Linked DNA regions of Arabidopsis thaliana. The protein of the gene in region 2 interacts with the protein of the main gene of each other region in a pairwise test. Each region holds a gene or a part of one and is shown on either strand. Other genes may lie near its edges.

The links. Proteins that work in one complex are often made in the same cells at the same time.
Region 1: the proteins of AT3G02880 (region 2) and AT2G41705 interact in a protein complementation assay, tested with the Arabidopsis thaliana proteins (one large-scale study listed by BioGRID).

The regions. Positions count from the first base shown.
Region 1 is NC_003071.7:17,394,879-17,400,917, reverse strand, and holds AT2G41705 (camphor resistance CrcB family protein), read right to left. Parts: upstream 3,649-6,039; 5' UTR 3,408-3,648; exon of another isoform or gene 2,879-3,407; 5' UTR 2,836-2,878; coding exon 2,458-2,835; intron 2,363-2,457; coding exon 2,279-2,362; intron 2,184-2,278; coding exon 2,085-2,183; intron 2,003-2,084; coding exon 1,810-2,002; intron 1,723-1,809; coding exon 1,310-1,722; intron 1,227-1,309; coding exon 1,008-1,226; 3' UTR 837-1,007; downstream 1-836. Other genes in the region: AT2G41710 (Integrase-type DNA-binding superfamily protein), read left to right, coding at 1-658; ABCA1 (ATP-binding cassette A1), read left to right, coding at 4,808-4,894, 5,055-5,134, 5,238-5,406, 5,505-5,587, 5,958-6,039.
Region 2 is NC_003074.8:632,312-638,204, reverse strand, and holds AT3G02880 (Leucine-rich repeat protein kinase family protein), read right to left. Parts: upstream 3,741-5,893; 5' UTR 3,387-3,740; coding exon 2,096-3,386; intron 1,909-2,095; coding exon 1,591-1,908; intron 1,498-1,590; coding exon 1,223-1,497; 3' UTR 921-1,222; downstream 1-920. Other genes in the region: ILR1 (Peptidase M20/M25/M40 family protein), read right to left, coding at 4,346-4,744, 4,849-4,977, 5,070-5,384, 5,633-5,758, 5,853-5,893.

The DNA.
Region 1 (6,039 bases), on a different chromosome or scaffold from region 2:
AAAAGCATCAGAGGATGCAAACGTCGAAGATGCTGGTACTGAGCTTAAAACACTGGAACACACATCCCATGCAACAGAACCATACAAGGCGCCAAACCTTGGCGTCCTTTGTGGAACTCAGAGAAAAGAAAAAGAAATATCATCACCATCAAGCTCTTCTGCTTTAAGCATCTTGTCTCAGTCGCCTGCCTTCAAGAGCCTAGAGGAGAAAGTGTTGAAGATCCAAGAAAGCTGCAATAATGAAAACGATGAGAATGCAAACCGTAACATCATCAATATGGAGAAGAATAACGGCAAGGCAATAGAGAAACCAGTTGTGAGTCATGGAGTTGCTTTAGGCGGTGCTGCTGCTTTGTCTCTTCAGAAAAGCATGTACCCACTTACCTCTCTCTTAACGGCTCCATTGCTCACCAACTACAATACATTGGATCCTCTTGCAGACCCTATTCTCTGGACACCATTTCTTCCTTCAGGATCCTCTCTTACTTCAGAGGTTCGTAGTCATATATCTATAGAACCAGAGACTTCAGAGGTTACTACAACACATCTTCCTTATGTCATTTTCTTTGGCTCTCTTTCTTCTGCAGGTGACAAAGACAGAGACCAGCTGTTCCACGTACAGCTACCTCCCACAAGAGAAATGAGCCGTTCCCTTTAGACTTTATGTATGTCAGATTCTCCTTTTTTGAGATGAATTCGTCGACTTGACATCTCTTTGTCTCTTTTATGGAGAAAAAGTTGGGAAAAGTGTGACAATGGTCTGAAGCAGGAATGTACAGGTTTTGTTAGTGGTTGTGTTTTTTTTTTTCCAGTGTGGAATATAGAATCATGATATTTTGTGTAAAACAGAAAAAAGTTATCATTATAGTATAGAAGTTTGCTCTTAATATTTCTGCACAAGGTATAATATAATTTGATTGTGACCGATCTAATTATTCATCTCTACCAAATGTTACGACTATGTATTATCACATCATCTGCACAAGACTTATCTAGCTTTGATACAACTAACTGAATCCTATTACCCAGACAGGGACTGAGTATATAATAGTTCCAATCGCAAAAGAAACCACAATGGTAAAAGATGCATACGCATAGGCTCTCCATGGGTAATCACTTTCTCTCATCGCATTGAACTCAGCCATGAAGGTCGAAACTGTGCTCAGACATCCCAACAGACCAAACTGTATGCTCGAAGCAACCGTGTTACATGTTCTCGTGTTCACCTGTTTCCCAAAATATATACAATGAATGTTATCTTTTGTGATTTGATCTGTTTGGTAGAGAGAGGAGGTGAGGAAGTTTATACCGATTTCTTCAAGGTAGCCAATGCTGCCATAACGCAAGCTGCAACTACATTTGCAATGAGGGTGCCAAATGGGACCCATCTCAAATTTTGACTATCCTTTCCCAGCCCACGTCCATTGAGTCGGGCTAAGAACCATCTGAGCCAGACACCAGGGGCTGCAACTAAGCAACCAAACCATAGCTGAGCCTCGCTTGTTCCTTTGTCAAACTCTTTCACAAGCAGTATGGAACTGGCAGTGAGTAAAGCCACAAGCAACAGAAGCATCAGGGTCAGAGACACAATATGGCTCTGGAAGGTGTTAACCTTAAGACAATGGAATTTATCCTCAGAAGAAGCTCTTCTATGAAGAAGCCATTTAAACCCTTTGGCCGTTTCCACTCCCAGAATTATGGAGTATGACGTGAGAAACAATCCTGTAAAGTCGTTTATGCTGTAAGCAAGTATGTTTCATCCAATTTAGTAGGTGATTGGAGATTGAGAAGGGAATTTTTTGTTTTTACCTAATAAAAAGCCAAGCACAGCATACACCCATTGACCATCAGCACTAAGATCCAGCATTTTCTGGTTCCAACCGCTGAATGTTGTCAGACTCCCCAAATAACCAGTCGATAATCCTATCGCCACAAATTCAGAAACTCTTGCTATATCTGCTTTGAATACAACGCCAAACCAACCCATCAAGAATGATCCTACCTATAAGGAAGCATTTGGAGAATTTTTATTAAGAAAGATAGGTTTGTAATTAAGTTTGAGATGAGTGCATTGCGACTTTCACCATGTTGGAGGGAAGATCAAGGTACAAGATGCTCCCATCACTTGTTACTCGAGCACCAGTTGGCCCAAACAATTTTTGCAGCAAATATCTCGTAATGGCCTGTATATTTGGAGTCAACGAGTTGATTATAATGATTTAAACAAAAACAAAGCACAACAGAGAGACAGACAGAAAATGGAAAATAAGCATTTTACCCCAAAAATCCCAAAAACAGCCAAATGAATTAGGCATGATATGTACTCCAAGGACTTTGGTAACACTCGCTCTTCCTCCTTTCCCTGTGCAACCCACGAGCTACAATAGATCAAAACATTGGACAAAGAAACCAATACTAACAATGATGTGACTATGCAAAGTTAGAGGTAGTCTCTACGGAGTTGTTTATTTCAGGTGACAAGAGTGACTTGGTCGGTAAAGGAGATGCTGTTATGTCCTCAGGCAAAGTTTTATTTACGGAAGCAGTGTTGAAAGCTCGAAGGTCATGTAATATATCTTGTTCTTGACGAGAAGTATCATGAGTCCCTTGTTCTATAAAATCATCAGCAGACAAACGGCTGCTTCTACCAGCACTATGCCTTCTCCGAAGTGAGCGGTCCCCAATATCCCCTGCCTCTGAGACACTCTCACTATCGACGTCATTGTCAATTAGGTGAGGCAAACTACGTGATAAGCTTAAAGAAGAGGCTACACTGCTCTCCCGACTAAAAGACTTGGCTTGATAAGGTTCTATGCTGCTTTGACCCGTATCCATAGGCGTTGTAGCCAAAGCATAAGATTCTTAAATGATGCTCCACCTGCACATATTTTAAGCCACAGCCACACACACAAGAAAGAAGACATGAAGGAATGTGCAAAAAGAGACAAGAGATAATCGAACAATGTGGCAAGTAAACATTCGAGAAATTCCTAATGCTTATTAAAGACACTGTTTGAAAAGTTTAGCTGTAATCTTCAAAACCATAGCTTTTTGATACTAAGACAACAAATTCAAAAAAGTTCACATATTCATGATAGATTATGACTTTAGTTTATTACTTTCTACAGAAGCAGAATAAGAATGACCTGGTGAAGGGATCCAAAAACAGTTTTCAAGATTTTGTCCTCCACTATCCCTTAAAACAAAAGATAAAAATTTACTTGCGTTTTAGTTAGTGGAAATCGAAAAAAAGGTAGACTAAAATAATCACTTGTTCACCAATAGAGAAAAAAACGAAAATCTTAAAAAGTTGTACAGGTGGCAAAGACGAATGAATACTTTTCTTAGATTGGGACCTGTTTTGGGTTTGGATTTTGAGCTAGACATTTAAAATTCAGCAGCTTTACCTAATGGCGAATTCAATCTTAATCGTGAAGAATCAAATTTGATCCCAAAAGTCGCCGGCGGAGAAATCGAGCTAACAGGAGACAATCGAAAACCATCAATTTATTCTCTGGTTTATTGGATGTTAAGGGAAGTAGGTTCGATTGTAGAAGATGGACGAACAACAAAGCAGAAGACGATTGTAACTTTGTTTAGTCGAACACACATGTACAGACAAGTAGAGTTGGTTTAGTCGGGAAAATCGCACCCTAAAAAAAACAAAAACAATACATAAGTTTTAAAATATTTCTAAATTATGGGCCACAAAGAGCTGGCCCAGTAGCCCCGCTTCTCATAACAGATTTTTTTTGTCTCTGGCGGATAACAAAAATATCCTTGGAAACGACAGCCCAAACAAAATCATCTTTAACATATATTTAGATGTTACTTGAAATTTGATCATATATTTTGAAAAAATCCAGATAAATTATTAAAAGTTAATGGTATTAAAAAAAAAGTTTCATTGTTTTTAGTTGAAGAAAATAGTGTCATTTTGATTCTACATTTGATATAATTTTACTAAAAATTGTTTTTTTTCTGTGTTAAAAAAAAACAGCATTTTTGAGGATTGAATATGAAGGTGGATTTCTTTAAAGTTGTGTCACAACTGATAAAAATAAAAATAAGAATCAAGTTGGGGAGTGGCAATGAAAGGAATAATTCTAATGGCGGCTTTTATTGGCAACCTTCGGAAAAATAATAAAAACATTCGTATACTTTGCCGTCAAACTTAGGAACGTCGTCGTTTTCGTCGTAATATAATTGGCGTAACGCAACTCTAAAACGAATCAGGATGTTCCACGTACACTACACTAGGCTTTTAATGTGGAGCCCGTGAGAGAGCCACCCCTACTTGGCATTGACGCAAAGATTTATATTTGGGTCAACATCAGCAACTGTACTTAAGTACTTATATATATTAATTATAAGATTATCTTCTTCTTTTTTTTTGGTTTAATATAAGATTACCTTCTTAATATCACGACAACTAATCTAATCTTCTCCTTATTTTTTGGGTTTTTTGATAGAAGAAGAAAGGTCCCGTAAATAAATGAAACAGTTTCGGAATTCTTCTATTTTTGTCGACCACTTGTGTTATCCGCAGCTAGTTGCAAAATTCTTTTGTTTGATTGTATAATCAAATTGATTAATGAATCAAATAAATTGGCAGGAAAAAAAAAAAAAAAAAAAAGGAAGCACAAATGTCAGTGAGGTGAGCCCAAGTCTTCGCCACCTCTCTCTGCTTTCTTAGTTTGCTACTTTGCTTTGCCTTTTCCCAAAGAAGAACCATAAAAGTATGATTTCTTATTGAAGCCAAGACTAGAATCTATCGTCTAGGGTTCTTTCTGGGTTCCAAGGAAAAATGGGTTCATCGAAGAGGCAATTCAAGGCCATGCTCCGCAAGAATTGGCTCCTCAAAACTCGTCATCCCTTCGTTACTTCAGCTGAGGTTTCTCTCTTTTTCTTTGCTCCTCAAAACTATGTCGTTTTCATGCTTATTCACTGCTCGTCTTAATGGGTCTTCTTCTCCTTGATGCTGAATGCAATTTTTGTTTTTAAAATTTCGAATTGTTGATCAAATTTTGCTTCTTTCTCTTATTCATTGGCAGATTTTGCTTCCGACTATTGTAATGTTGCTGTTGATAGCCGTCAGGACACGGGTTGACACCACAATTCACCCGGCTCACTCGTAAGATATCAGTTTTTTACACTCGTCACTAGCCTCTCTCTCTCTCGTACTAAAATTGGATTTTGATTTCGTTTTCTGCATTTTGTTCTGTTGATCATGAAAGGAACATAGACAAAGATACAGTCGTCGAAGTGGGCAAAGGCAACTCTCCTAGTTTTCCAGAAGTTTTGAAGCTTTTGCTTGCTGAGGGGGATTTTTTAGCTTTTGCACCTGACACTGATGAAACTAATAACATGATCGACATTTTGTCTCTTAAGTTTCCGGAACTGCGGGTAATCATCATCACGTCTTCATCTTATGCTGCATTCTAGATCGATAGTTACTCTTCATATGTCACACGTTTAATCGACCCTGTGTCTTCTGTTTGCAGCTAGTTACTAAAATTTTTAAAGATGACATAGAGCTGGAAACTTATATAACATCTGCGCATTATGGTGTCTGTAGCGAAGTGAGGTATGTTTTGTTCTTTTTTCCAGCTAATAAGAAGGCAATTTCATCCCTAGTTTCTTGTCGCCTTCAAACTTTTTCTTGTACATCTCTCTGTTTATTCTGTGAATTGGTTAGCATTTCTTGAATAATGGCAGTATCTCCTTGGGTTAGTTGTTACAAATTTGCTACAACTTTGATGATTATACTACCTGAACAAGACTGGTATCTTTTCTATGTTGGAAACAGGGAGATATTTTGGCTTCACATGCCCAGTGTGTCTGCATTTTATCTTCACTAGTACTATCATCAAAGTTATAACTAGCTGTCTATGCTTTTTCGTTTTTTTTTTTTTTTTAAATGTTAAAACTGATTAAGCCTCATCATGTTTGCTTAGGAATTGTTCGAATCCAAAAATAAAAGGAGCAGTGGTATTCCATGAACAAGGACCTCATTTGTTTGATTATAGCATCCGCTTG
Region 2 (5,893 bases):
TTTTGCTCTTAACTGTTGTGTTTGTTATACGTGTAAGCCCGCCCAATGTGTCATGGCCGAACTTATTATGGTTACATATTTATGAAATGGGCTTCATTATCAATTGATTTGAGCCTACAAAAATGTAGCCATAAAGCCCATTAAGTTGTAATTGTTAATATTTCAGTCATAAATATGATTTTCTATATCTATGATTTATCTCTAGTGTTGATGATGTTTGTATGTGGAAGTCATGTTCTATTTGCTTCCACGGTTTAAAAACCATCAACTTGCTAAGGTCAAATTCTAATATTACTGTGAAAAACATTATTTACGTGCGTAATTATATGAATTTATGAATAGGTTTTAATTCCATTTTTTCCTAATAGTGTTTTATGTCAAAGAGTATCCCACTAATAAATTTATTGAACCCCATGTGCATATGTACCCAGTCTGGTACGAGTTGGAACATGAGATAAAGTTGTGGCAACTGCCCATGACTCGGTGTAAATGGTATATCACATGAAAAATTATAAGTCCAGATCACAATATGTTTTCTTCAAATAATTCGAAAAATTATCTAATCGATTTCCCTTTAAGCTTGAACTAAATAGTTTATCAGCACTAGTAATTCTTTCATACAAAATCTCTAAGCAAATATATATCTTTCTGGGTCAATGTTGTTTTTTCATATCTAAAATGTTTTTTCTTTCTCCTGTGAAGTAGGGTTATTAGTTAGTGGTTACCAACTTCACATTATAAAACTTCATATCTAATCAAATCGTGAAGTATTTGTCAGTCAATCGTGAGACGATATTCATGACCACTTTTGTCGTTGACTTTGTTTTTGGCTCAAAATTTTGGACGGCGATAAAAAATAAAACTCGTTGACATTGTTTTTTGGCTGAATCGTTGACTAGGATTCTGGGATAAGATGTGTAAAGAAGAAAACAAAAACCAATTTATTCACACGCAATCAACTATATATTTATACAAAAATTAGCAAAAGCAATAGTTTTATAGACATTTTTAAAACTTTGGAAATAAAGAAAAGTAGAAAGAAAGAAAAAAAGAAACTGATAGGTCTCATCTCAATTTGAGGCTCAAGAATTAACGAACAAACTAGAACAAGAACAAAGAAGAAGAAGTAGAAAAAAGGCGGGAAGTGGGGTCGACACTATTCAAGAAATTGCAACTTGACCCCAAACAATATTCAAATCAATCAATTTAGACCCCCAAAAAATCAGTCGGATACAGGATTTGGGGAGCCAGATGAATGAGAAACCTCCTCAATGAGTCTGGTGACTTCAGCCATCGAAGGACGACTATCTGGGAACTGAGCCGTACAGCTCATACCGATCTTCAATAAACGAATGATGTTCTCATTGCCCTCAGGTTGGTACCTTGTGAGCTCGGGATCAAGCACATCGGACGGTGTTTGTTGCTCGGTAACAGATTGGACCCATCTCGGCAAATCTACGCCTTCTTCATTCAACTGCTGATGCGTTGGAGACTTACCTGCAATGTAATGTTCCATGTTAAAACCTAGAAACCACAGCAATTGCAAAAAAAGCAGTTAAAAAGATATATCTATCCTTGATTGTTTGTTACCTGTGAGTAATTCAAGGATTAGGACGCCAAAGCTATAGACATCAGCTTTTTGGGATATTTTGCGAGCATCAGTGATTTCAGGGGCACGGTAGCCATCAATACGGTTAGGTGCAGATGTAGAACTAATGATGGGAGCAAGACCGTAATCAGAGACCTTAGCTTCATAGGAGTCAGATAATAGTATGTTCGAGGACTTAATGTTTCCATGAGAAGTTGTCCCATCACGCGAATGTAGGTAGCTAATCGCTCTTGCAGCTCCTAAGGCTATACCGGCTCTGGTTTCCCAGTTCAACGGAGTTCTCCCGTTTCCTTTGTTCCCTACAAATCCATTAAAAGAGCTTCAAAACCGAGCTTGAAGACACATAAGATAAACTAACTATGAAACAATTCAGTAATCAGTGTCAATTTTAGCCAAACCAGGTCCATCAAGATCACAAACTAGCATCAGCTAAACTAAGAACCCTAAAAATAAACAAATGCACAAATGGAGATTACTATTCTATACCGTGCAATATCGCAGACAAGCTTCCTTTAGACATGTACTCAAAGACAAGAAGCTTCTCGTCACGGCTGAAATAGTAAGCGATCAGAGTCACGAGATTGGCATGACTCATTGATCCCAAAACATGCAATCTCTCTCTGAACTCTTTCTCAGGCACCACAACATCTCTTAACCGTTTCACAGCCACCACTAACCCATGCTCAAAGCTTGCCTTATACGACGACCCAACTGTTCCTTTCCCAAGAACCTCAGCTGAAGCCTTCAACAATCCATCCAAATCGAATTCCCCGAAAGATTTCACGAAAAAGGTCAAATCTTTATTCACCGCACCACTCTCCGACCCCGTAGCCTTAGCCGGCGGGACAACAACCACCGTTTCCTTTGGTATAGCAGCGGAGGAAGTCGCAGCAGCGACAGGAGCTTCAACATTCCTAGATGGAACGTTCTCTTCTTTCTTTCTCTTTCTACAGAGACAGAACAGAATCAAAAGAAGCAGTAACAGACCAACAACACATCCGATCACAATCCCGACAATAGCTCCGGCGGATAACTTGTCGCTATCTTTCTTCTCCGGCGGCGTATTGGGTCCTCCAGCGTCACCACCATTGGGGCTCTCTGCCTCACAAGTGTCTAAAGGCTTCCCACAGAGAGTGTTACCTTCAAAAGCAGTTCGAGGCCAAGACGACAACGAACTCGGAATAGACCCGTTTAACTGATTAGAAGAAACATTGAATTGCTGAAGAGGAAGCGTGATCTCAGGGATCGGACCAGAGAGTTGATTCCTCTCCAAATACAGAGTAACCAACCGGGTCGCAGAATTGACATTATCCGGGATCCGACCCGAGAATTTATTCTCCCCTAGATTGATTCTGATTATGCTCGGAAGCGTGAAGAGAAGCGACGGAATCTCACCGGAAAAGGCATTACCTTGAAGATACAAGTAACGGAGGAGAACAAGGTTGGAGAAATCCGAAGGGATAGGACCAGAGAGAGAATTGAACCGGAGAGAAAGAGTCTTAAGCTGGGTTAGATTACCAATACCACCGATTGGTAAAGAACCGAATAAACCAGATCCGGGTAATCGGAGAGCCGTGACCCGACCCGCATCGCAGTGGACTCCGTGCCAATTACAAGGAGAAGAAGCACTCATGTTCCATAGCAAAGGACGGCCACGGACACTGTTACGAACAGCGAGTAAAGCTCTCCGGTCAGACTCTAGATCTGAAGTCACCGCAGCGAGATAGAAGACAAAGAGGAAGACAACAGAGAGACTTAGCTTACGCTTATACTTCATCTTCTTCTTCTTCTTCAAAAACCGTGTAAATTCTTCGTCTCCTTGGTTCCAAAAATTCAATAAATATATCGACTTTTTCGGATATGGGTTTTTGGAAAATTTATTTCGGCTACGCGTAAACGAGTGTTTGAACAAAGAGACTTTTGTGTTTTTTGGTTTACAAGAGTTTCAGCTCTGTCTTTCTTCTCTCTCTAGAGCCGGCTAAGAGAGAGAAAATGGTCATAATTGCAGAGAAAAAGGAAAAAAAGAAAAGTTACTAATTGGAATATTTCCTTTTTGACAAAAAAGTTAAAAGAGAATCTTATGTATTTAATTTGACAGCTAATTTACAGAAAGATAATTAATTAATTATAAGGTTATGACTTATGAATACTAGTTGTAACAATTTTATCAGAGTCAACTATATTTGCGTTACATAAATGACAATAAATCACTGCAGTAATGTTTTTTGTAGACGTTTAAACGACCTCTGTTTTTCCTTTCTTTTGTATTAGATCAATAAATTAGGTCTAATTAAAAAATTAATGGTCGTTATCGTTTTGTTTCTTTTATGTTTTTTTTTTTTGCAGGTTGAGTGTGACCAAAGACATGCCAGGTCTGTCAAATGTGTCTGAGCTACCGTTGACAAACAAAGATTAGCCTCTCCGACACCGTTTTTATTTCTGATATAAGTTTGTACCATAGACATTTTTTTTTTTTTTTTATGTATTTGTTGTATCAATTTGAAAGGAAGGTAATAGAAATGGTCAACAGAGAACTTAAGAAGTGGTATTCATTTTGAAGATTTCAATTGTTCAATTTTTAAAACTCTTACATCAAATTTATTTTAATAGAAGTGGTTGGTTTCTCGTGACTATTAACAAACATTCTTCCCAACCCGAAACCTAACCTCACCTAACTTTCAAGTTCAAATACAAATAGATGATGACTAATATAAGCTGATTTTCTCCCAACACCTTCTATAATTCACTCTTAACCTCTTCTTCATGGCTATGACCATGTTCGTCCAAATAAGAAACGGCCATAGCTGCGTGAAGAGCAGCCCCAACAGGAAGAGCTTCTTCATCAACAAAGAAGTAAGGCGAGTGAAGCGGCTTACCAGCGCCTAGCGTCTCATTCTTTACCCCCAGCACGAAAATCGCAGCCTTAGTCTTTTGAGTGAAGAAGCTGAAATCCTCTCCTCCCATTGTCACCGGGAAATCATGGAAGTTATTCTTTCCAATCATCGCTTCCGCTACTTTTTTACCGTGCTCGTATAAGCCCTCGTCGTTATTCATTACCGGGTGAAGCGACGGCTTTTTCTCTTCGAAGTTTACTTCTGCTTTGCATCGGTATACCGATGCTTGTGCCTCTGAAATCTGCATCATCATCAAGAAACATTTAAACAGGGTTAGGGACCTACATTATTCGAATAGTAGAACAAGATTGTATAGAAAAATGGTGTAAAAAACAATCTCTTTACCTCTTTGATCCGTCTTTGGATAAATAGAAGCCCATCGTTGCTTAAGCTTCTGAAAGTACCTCCAAATTTCGCACTCTGCGGTATTACGTTTTGAGCATGACCTCCTTCAATATATCCAACTGTAACCACCTGAGAAACATAAAAAAACCAATCTCCGCTGATTTCAGCCAAGATTCTGATTCATCAAACACCAATGCTTTGAAAGTGGAAAGCAAACTTACACCAGCTTCGAGTGGATCCAGTTCCCGCGAAACAATCTGTTGCAAGGCAACAACAGCGGAAGAAGCTGCAAGAACCGGGTCTTTAGAGAAGTGCGGTGTAGCTGCGTGGCTACCTTGACCGTGAACCGTGACTGTAAACAATCCTGCACCTGCAAGAACGGTCCCAGGCCTAGAACCAATACCACCTGATGGGATCGATGGAAAGACATGAACACTGAGTATCCCATCTAAGTCGTCTAGAATCTCGTCTTTTAGCATTTCATAAGCACCTGCATAACCTTCCTCGCCTGGTTGAAACACAAGTTTTACTGTCCCCTGTTGCAAAAAAATTGTGTTTTCGTTCAAAACCCTCATAAGATTCACCAAACTCTCATAAGACACACACACTAACAACTCTAGAAAACACACACACATAACAATTAGCAATCAAAGACATACACACACATATATCTAAGAATCTTAGAAAACACTAACCCACATCGAAATGAGTTTTAATTGCAGGGCACAGACAGAATCATTCAAAATTATACATATAAATTGAGTGAAAGAGAAAAAAGAGAGACCTTGATGAGGTGTTTTGTGGTTTGAAGAAGCTTAGCAGCACCAAGAAGCATAGCAACATGAGTATCATGACCACAAGCATGCATCTTTCCATCTACTTTACTTTTCGATTCCCATTCCACTAATTCCTTTTTTTGTCCCCATTTTTTCAAATTCATTAGTCAAACAAAGCAATCTAAAAATCAGAGTAAAAATCGGAACTTTGATTATTAGATTTCAAACCTGTAACGGAAGTGCGTCCATGTCGGCTCTAAGTCCGAAAA